Arabidopsis thaliana: one gene and its partner. The protein of the gene in region 1 purifies or fractionates together with the protein of each later gene. This does not show direct contact. Each region holds a gene or a part of one and is shown on either strand. Other genes may lie near its edges.

Region 1 (4,102 bases):
GCAGCTGATCACAAACGATAAGTTCTTAAGTATGGAGCATAGGGTACGGGCAAACAGAGATGGACCGCGGATTTCAGTTGCTTGCTTCGTTAGCTCGGGAGTGTTTCCAAATTCCACTGTTTATGGACCGATAAAAGAGCTTCTTTCTGATGAAAACCCTGCAAAGTACAGAGACATCACTATACCAGAATACACTGTAGGATACCTAGCAAGCATCTTCGATGGAAAATCGCATTTGTCTAAGTTCCGGATATGAAGAAATTACTTGTATGGCTTAGTTAAAAACAGATATGTGTGTTTTGCTGCTCTCTTCTCGCTCGAGAGGACATCAACTATTTTGTTAATAAGAAAGAATTTTTTACAGTGAAGACATTGAATTACTGAATAACAAGATCCACACTTGATTTATTTATTTACTTCCACTTGATGCCTGAAACAGCAACGTAGATAAGAAGAAAGAAGTGTGTAGCAGAATGGGAAAAAGACAAATGTTTCTTCCTTCAAACAACATGAGCTTCATTTTTAAGTTTATCTATCAACTCATCCACCGAAGAAACCATAACCCCAGATTTCCTCTTTGGAGGCTCCGTGACTTCCAAGATCTCTATGTCGGATTTAATGTCTACTTTCAGATCTTGCACCGTCATTTTCTTTATAGGCTTTGATTTTGCCTTCATTATGTTAGGGAGTGATGCATATCTTGGTTGGTTCAGCCTCAAATCAGTTCTGCATTGTAACATCAAGAGCTGTTACAAACAAAACAAGAGTTGTTGCACCTTTCTATTAAAGCTTAATTGCTAGTTTGCTTAATAATTTGAGTGATCACAAAAAAAGTTCCACAAAGAATGCAGTGAACAAATTGACATATGCAGGTTAGTTGATGCATATATATAAACCTCAACTCGAGAGAGATCATGACACAATCATCTAAGAATCTAGAACTTACGTTATCACAGCGGGTAAGTCTACATTAAGAGTCTCAAGACCTCCATCCACTTCTCTATCCACGGTTGCAACATTCTTATCTTTATCCAACACAACCTACTAAACAACAATGAGCAGAGCACATAAAAAACTACTCACAACTTGGAGAGCAGAGACAAAAGATAACATATGATTGTAGTCGAGGGAACTACTCTGTTACCTTCGATGCAAACGTTGCTTGTGGCCAACCAAGTAAAGCTGCAACCATCTGTCCTGTTTGATTGCAATCATCATCTATCGCCTACAGAAAAAAAATAACGTTATAAATCAGTAACCTTCACATCAAACCTCATCAAAACATTATGCAAACTCAACATTATTCAAGACATTTTAAGACAGTTTTCAAGAATTTACAAAGATCAATGTTCATCATCCTAAACAATCCACAACACACGAGTCAAAACACGAATCTTTTGCATTCTAAAACCTGAAAAACCTCAACTTTAGCTAAGATTCAGTACACTAAAACAAGATCTAGAGATTTGACGCATACACAACCAAAGTTCAAAACTTGACAAGCAAATCAGAGCCAAACATACCTGTTTCCCTAAGAAAATCAATCCAGGATTCTCAACATCAGCTAAACTCTTCAAGATCTTAGCAATCGTCAAAGGAAGAAAAATAGAATTGGTCTCAACATGGATTCCTCGATCAGCACCCATAGCTAAACCAGTACGAAGTGTATCCACACATTGTGAAGGTCCAATACTCACTGCAATAACCTCTTTAGCAAAACCAGCTTCTTTGATTCGAAGCGCTTCCTCAAGCGCGATCTCACAAAATGGATTCATTGACATCTTCACATTTTGGGTTTCTACACCAGTCTGATTCAACGATAAAGGAATCAAATTTAACGGTGATTCAATGGTTACAGAGAGATTTAGAGATGGGTTATGCGTGTACCTTATCGGGTTTGACTCGGATCTTGACGGCGTAGTCGACGACACGTTTAACGGCGACGAGAATCTTCATTGGCCGGGAACAGCAGAACAAATGAAGCAGTAAGCAATTTTGATTTCTGGATCTAAAGGATGGTGATGATGACTCATCAAAAAGAAATGGCATGGTATTCGGTTTAATCCGGTTTAGATGTCTCGGGTTTCAGTTTTTCCTTTTGCTTCTGTAAAAGGCTGGTTTAGGCCGAAAAAAATAATTGAAAAAATGGGTCATACAATACAACATACCATAATAGGTCTTAGTGGATCAGAGTCCATTACTTCAACAACACTAGTAAAGTCTGATTTAGTACAAAGAGACTTACCAAGTTTGTTAAATCCTTAAAAATCATGGATGGTATTTTTCGTTTTGGCATTTGAATGTTCTATCCAAATCAAGATGAATTTATATGATGTTTGCTTTAACACAACAAAAAACATCAGATAGATGTTTTCAAGGAGATTATGGTTTCTTTGTAATTTGGATATCATTGATTATATGAGGAGGAGATTTTGACGTAGAAGTGTGAAGCCCTCCATGAGTTTTATGTTTAAAAGAAATAATTTTAAGTTTTTCAAACTTGTCCATAATTTCTCTGTCACACATAATACAACTCAACTTTTTTGACTTCTAAATCTAAACACGTCTATATTCTCTCCTACCTCACCGACCAAATAATTTTAAAAATCCATCTCAAAAATATTTGAAAATGAAATAATAGAAATCAAATGTAGAAAGGAACAAGAAAATAAAACAAATAAGCAAAGCGGCTTATTAGGGTTCAAAATAAAGTGGCAATTTAGAGGAACTTCTAGAACGTCTACTGCTCCCAAAAGAGAAGAAAGATCTCTTCACTTTGGAATTACTAACATTGCCACTACTACTGCTACATCCTCCTCCGTCTCCAACCACCAGAACTTCGCGGTTTTTCCGAATCGCCTCTTGAACCGCCAAGTAAAGCTGTCTATCCGCCGATGAATCCATTGAGATTGATCTTCTAATGGGCTGAATACTACCGAACTGTTCGTCTTTACCTCTTCTTATGTCGATGCATTCGTCTCCCATACTCGTCATCTTGTGAAGCTTTCGGAATTTTCTTGGAAGCCCTCCGCGGTCAAGCTTCTTCGGAGATGGACTGATCGAATTTTGGGTGTTTTCGTTCAGTAGATAACCTGAATTTGACCTTTCTTGTCCCGTAAGTAACCTTCCGTGTCTTGGACTATCTCTGTCACTACCGATGCTACTGCCCAGCTCAATGACCACATACTCGTTCTCACCTCTTAACATGACCAGATTCTCGGGAGAAGTGCTCGGCGCAGAAACCCGATCCGGAGGAAAACTTGTGTCACAAGAAACCCTAGTTCTACACAAAGGACAATTGGCGTTGTTCTGAAGCCACACATCGATACAGTCGATATGAAACAAATGAGAACAATTTGGGATAATCCTCAGCTTCTCCTCATCTTGAAACTCACTCAAACAAACAGAGCATTCTTGAGATCTCTTCTCTTCTTCTTCTTCTCCTTCTCCTGTAAAAACGCCGTCGTTTTGGTCGTATCTCTTCTTGAACTTAAAGATTGGGATTGCTCTAATGACGGATTCATCAAGACCGCGGCTTCTAAGCTCTGGAGAGTAAACCATTAAAGGATCTTGGTCGTTGCGTCGCCTTCGAGATAACGAGAATCGACCAAGAATGTCGATTCGGTGCCAGTTGAGACAACATTTGATAACAAAAACATAATAGCTTACAAGTAAAAATGCTGTGGCTAAGATTCCGATCACCGCGACGGCTAAGATCGGAAAACTCGTCCCCGTAGAGCTCGCACGGTGGAAAATAGGTGGCGGCGGAGGAGGAGGAAAGCTCAGATCCCGGAGAGGATTGCGACGGTTTGATAGATCCATTATCTGACTTATAAGAAGAATCTCATCCTCTAATGGAGAACTAAAGAGTAAACTTTGAAAGTTCTTGAAGAAAGAAGATTGGTATAGAAGAAAAACAGAGGAGAGAGGGATTGAGTAAAATGAAAGTTCGGTGAGATTTCTTGGGCTCTTTATATGATTATATTAATATTTTTCTTGATCGGTGTGACTCGTTTACTACAAGAATTCTTTTATATCAAGATTTAAAAGTAGAATTGAATATACAAGTTAAATTTGATTGGTGGGAAAATTGAAAATTTGT
Region 2 (4,547 bases), on another chromosome or scaffold:
AACTTCTCAAAAGCAGCACCAGTTAAGGGTATATCCGCATAAGTACTATTGTCACCATGATCTTCGTCTCCATGGTTGATGAGATGTAAATCAGAGGTGGAGTGAAATTCCTCAGCAGTGGCTCTTAAATGCGGATCAATTGGAACTTTTCTAATCGTTTTCGATATATTTAACCTGTGCTGAAGAAGTTTATAACAAAACTTAAACATAGGAAATGACATAATCATTGTCATTGCACAACAAAAGTTAAACATCCTAGCATGAGAACTTATAACATACATTTGCTGTAACAATAAATAATGTCAAAACTTTTGCTTTTTTTTCTTTCCTTTTGTGTTTATAAAACAGCTAAGAGACAATGTATGCACGCAGTGCAAAATGGGATCTTAGAAACAGAAATACTTAGAATTGGAAACCGAAACTTACAGTTCCAAACACGTCACTCACGTCAACTGATGCGAATTCACATGAGAGGGCAGGAAAGCTACAAGAAATAAGTCAAAACCAAACATCAATTTATGAAGACACCGCCACTATTGTAGAGAGATTGAAACACAAACAGACAAAAGAAAAGAACAATGGCATGTTGGCATTGTTTATTATAACCAATACTAACACATGAATTCCATTTACCTGATGTTAAAATCAATGTTTAAGAAGTCCCCATCAGAGCTTTTGTCAACTATTACAGATGTGCTAGTGTTAATAGCCAAATAACTACTCAGCTCCTGAAAGTTAAATAATCAACCAAAATCATTGGATATACGGTATTTTTCACTTACACAGAGGAAGAAGCAAAAGATACAAGAATCAGAAAATATGAGATTGTGAAGAAGAAGAAGAAGAAAACAGGGCAGAGATTAGTTTACTACCATTCCAAACAAAAACAACATAGCAAGGGCAGCTACAATGGATAATCCAGCACCAGAGAGAGATGCTTCAGTCAAATCTCTTGGGATTTTCCTGAAGAAACAAATGGAACTCAAATTACTCTCAGCTCTAACTCCAGACAACACAAACACACAGTTCACAGAGTAATTATCCGTAATCCGATGCACAGTTCATCATCAAGATGAAAAACGAGAAGACAGAACCAATTTCGAATTATCAAAAAGGCAAAATCAAACACATACAGTCGAAAATGTATAGAAAGGTACAAACTTTTGCAAGTGCGTCAAAAACCATTATCGAGAGAATTATCATTGGAATTGTTACACGAAAGAGGGTTCCCACCTGTAGAAATCAACGGACTTGATCTTGGAGGTTGAAACCATGGCTGTAACAAAGAAGAAAGGATTCTAACAAAGAAAAAAACAGATCTTGACAATGAGCTCTCTTTCTCTATCTCTGTATCTAGGATTTTGTTCTTAAAGCCGTCGTGATCCCACTTTGCTTAACTATGGGAACTCTACACGAAAAAGCTCAAAAAGACAGATTTTTTTTTGGCAGGAAGAATTCTAATCCTTTAAAGGTTAGATTTTTATTTTGTTCTCTTTCAGGAATCATCATCGTACCATAAAAATTAGAAAATTAGAATATGGAAGTTGTGAAATCTGTCGAATCTAATCTACTACAAATGGAAATGAAGTAATCAGCTTCGATCTTTGACCATCCTTAAAGTTCAAACAATTATTAATTCCTTTAAAAATGATACAATTAGCTTTATCATAAACGACGTAGTTCCTATAGCAATAAGAAATTGTTATAAACGACGACGTTTGCCATAGTTCGCTTATTTCTTTCTTTTTGCGAGAATTCTGAAATCTGAAGGAGAGAGAAACCAATCAGAAGAGAAAACGATGACGAGAACTGTTCTACTGAGAGCTCTGACGAAGAATAAGTTCGTCGCCTCTAATGCTCCTCGATCTATATCCATTTCCATCACCAGTCTCTCTAGATGCGTATGATCTTTTATCTCCTACCCATTTTCCTTCAGTTCGATCTTTTGTTTTTGCTGGAATCGATCATTCATTTTCGTCGTGACCAAATTCGATTTTTTCATATTAAAAATGAATCGGAAGTGGTAAAGGAGCATTCTTTGTGGTGGTGATTTCAATTTTATCATTCTACTTGGTTTGAAAATTTTCAATTTGTGAAGCTTCTATATATATATATATATTGAGATAATCATTTTGTTGTTGTTATGCTGAGAAATTCACAATAACACTTTTGTGTTGTGTACATTTTTGTTGTTGTATATAGATTAGCACTCTGATTCTAGCAGAACATGAGAGTGGTACAATCAAACCTCAGACAGTGAGTACAGTAGTTGCAGCTAATTCATTAGGTGAGAGCTCTTCAATTTCTTTGTTATTGGCTGGTTCTGGTTCTTCTCTTCAAGAAGCTGCTTCTCAAGCTGCCTCTTGTCATCCTTCTGTTTCCGAGGTAAGCTACAACATTCTCCCTTCTCTTCATTTGCTTTCTTTTGGTTTTGTGGTCTCAGTGTTGGTACTTTTTCTGTAGGTACTTGTTGCTGATTCTGATAAATTTGAGTACTCTTTAGCTGAGCCTTGGGCTAAATTGGTTGACTTTGTTCGGCAACAAGGAGATTACTCACACATTCTTGCTTCCTCTAGTTCATTTGGCAAGAATATATTACCCCGTGTCGCTGCTCTTTTAGATGTTTCTCCTATTACTGATGTTGTCAAAATCTTAGGATCTGACCAGTTTATCAGGTACATTCCAACTCTCTCTCGTTCTCGTTGAACTGTGAACTGAAACCAAGATTTTTATCTGTGTCAGGCCTATTTATGCGGGAAACGCTTTGTGTACAGTTCGTTATACTGGTGCGGGTCCTTGTATGTTGACTATTAGATCTACATCTTTTCCTGTCACCCCGATTACAGCAAACTCAGAGTCAAAGAAAGCTACTGTCTCTCAGATTGATCTCTCAAATTTTGAAGACGGTCCGTTTAGTGTTTCTCTTATGTATTCGTGTTTTCGTCGGTGGTTCTTTTTTGTGAATGGTTTTGCTATTCTTCACTGCAGACTCTGTCAGCAAATCTAGATATGTGGGACGTTCAACTCAGGATACAGAACGGCCTGATCTTGGAAGTGCACGTGTTGTGATCACTGGTGGAAGGGCGTTGAAGAGTGTTGAGAATTTTAAAATGATCGAAAAGCTTGCAGAAAAACTTGGTGGAGCAGGTTAGTTATACATGCTTATCCTAATCACCAGTGAGTGTGGAGAAATTGTTTTATCTCTCAAGTGAATGTGCTTCGAAATGTACGTGTATAACTGTTTCATTTATACAGTGGGCGCTACTCGTGCTGCTGTTGATGCTGGATATGTTCCTAATGATCTTCAGGTAAGATTTGGTGGATCTTCGCTTGATTATTCCTTCCATTTTACGGCTTTAAAACTCAAATAAGAGTTTGTTTGTTTGCATCTTTAGGTGGGGCAAACAGGTAAAATAGTAGCACCAGAGCTATACATGGCATTTGGTGTTTCAGGAGCCATTCAACACTTAGCTGGAATTAAGGATTCTAAGGTGATTGTTGCGGTTAATAAAGACGCCGATGCACCTATTTTCCAGGTAACAAACACACTTGACACGGTTCTTCTCTGTCAATTTAAGTTAGGACCAAAGTATTCTAAAAAACGTTTGGCTATGAAACTGTAGGTAGCTGATTATGGACTCGTTGGAGATCTTTTCGAGGTGATACCGGAGTTGCTGGAGAAGCTTCCAGAAAAGAAATGAGACCCCGAGAGACCGAAACTCGTCTCTGTTTATCATCTCTTAAGCTCTCTGTATTTTGAGGTGCAGACCATAGTAAGTAGTGTATATAGCAAAACTGTAATAAAAAACGGTCTGGAGAATCTTTGTCATAAGCTTTAAGGTTAAGCTCTCACGTTTCTAACATTCCAACGAGTCTGACAAACAAAAGCAAAGTGTTTAACTCTCAATAAGAATTCGATTTTCTATACATTTTACTTGTCAATCAATCATAGTAACAATTTTACATCAAAGAATCAGAAGAATAAAAAATAATAATAACAGTTAAAACTTAGAGAGTAAAATAAAAGAATCATCAAGCAATAAAGTTAGATAACATGGATAAAGGAACTACACAAAGTCCTCTCTTCTTCAATTCTGCAGAGAATTCTTCATTCATAATTTCTTTTATCTTTGATCCTGTTTCTGTTATGCATCCAATTTCCTATAAATTCCCGGAAAAAAAAAGAACTTGTTGTTAGTACTGGAAAATCGAATTTAGTTTTTTCTGGAAAATATTAGTTTTCATGCAAGAAATGTTTATTTTTTTGTTGGATAAAGGGTTTCTTATTACCTCGGATGTAACATTGTCCATGGTTTTTCCATATCTTGTATTATCATTAGCATGGTCCAAGACACTAAAAATCTATTAAAAAAAAGAAAAAAATGTTAGAAAAATTAACAAAAACAACAAAACCAATTCTACAAATTAAGATACACTCATATATATCTAACCTTGGTTTTATTAGAAGGAGAAGAAGCAGTGTCTTCTTCATCTTCTTCTTCTTCTTCTCCTTTTTGTAGTTCTTCTTCTTCTTCTTCTTTGTGTTG

What was found.
Region 2: the proteins of ETFBETA (region 1) and ETFALPHA fractionate together in Arabidopsis thaliana (co-fractionation; one large-scale study listed by BioGRID). This does not show direct contact.

The regions. Positions count from the first base shown.
Region 1 is NC_003076.8:17,451,510-17,455,611, reverse strand, and holds ETFBETA (electron transfer flavoprotein beta), read right to left. Parts: upstream 2,096-4,102; 5' UTR 2,050-2,095; coding exon 1,888-2,049; intron 1,809-1,887; coding exon 1,524-1,808; intron 1,226-1,523; coding exon 1,145-1,225; intron 1,042-1,144; coding exon 947-1,041; intron 747-946; coding exon of another isoform or gene 740-746; exon of another isoform or gene 727-739; coding exon 501-726; downstream 1-500. Other genes in the region: AT5G43440 (2-oxoglutarate (2OG) and Fe(II)-dependent oxygenase superfamily protein), read left to right, coding at 5-256; AT5G43420 (RING/U-box superfamily protein), read right to left, coding at 2,695-3,822. UniProt on the Arabidopsis thaliana protein: The electron transfer flavoprotein serves as a specific electron acceptor for several dehydrogenases, including five acyl-CoA dehydrogenases, glutaryl-CoA and sarcosine dehydrogenase.
Region 2 is NC_003070.9:18,877,192-18,881,738, reverse strand, and holds ETFALPHA (electron transfer flavoprotein alpha), read left to right. Parts: upstream 1-1,726; 5' UTR 1,727-1,799; coding exon 1,800-1,901; exon of another isoform or gene 1,902-2,202; coding exon 2,203-2,385; intron 2,386-2,463; coding exon 2,464-2,675; intron 2,676-2,742; coding exon 2,743-2,906; intron 2,907-2,988; coding exon 2,989-3,147; intron 3,148-3,255; coding exon 3,256-3,308; intron 3,309-3,395; coding exon 3,396-3,536; intron 3,537-3,623; coding exon 3,624-3,701; 3' UTR 3,702-3,927; downstream 3,928-4,547. Other genes in the region: AT1G50950 (protein disulfide-isomerase 5-like protein (DUF1692)), read right to left, coding at 1-179, 427-484, 634-728, 873-963, 1,234-1,274; AT1G50930 (Serine/Threonine-kinase), read right to left, coding at 4,033-4,161, 4,291-4,362, 4,452-4,547. UniProt on the Arabidopsis thaliana protein: The electron transfer flavoprotein serves as a specific electron acceptor for several dehydrogenases, including five acyl-CoA dehydrogenases, glutaryl-CoA and sarcosine dehydrogenase.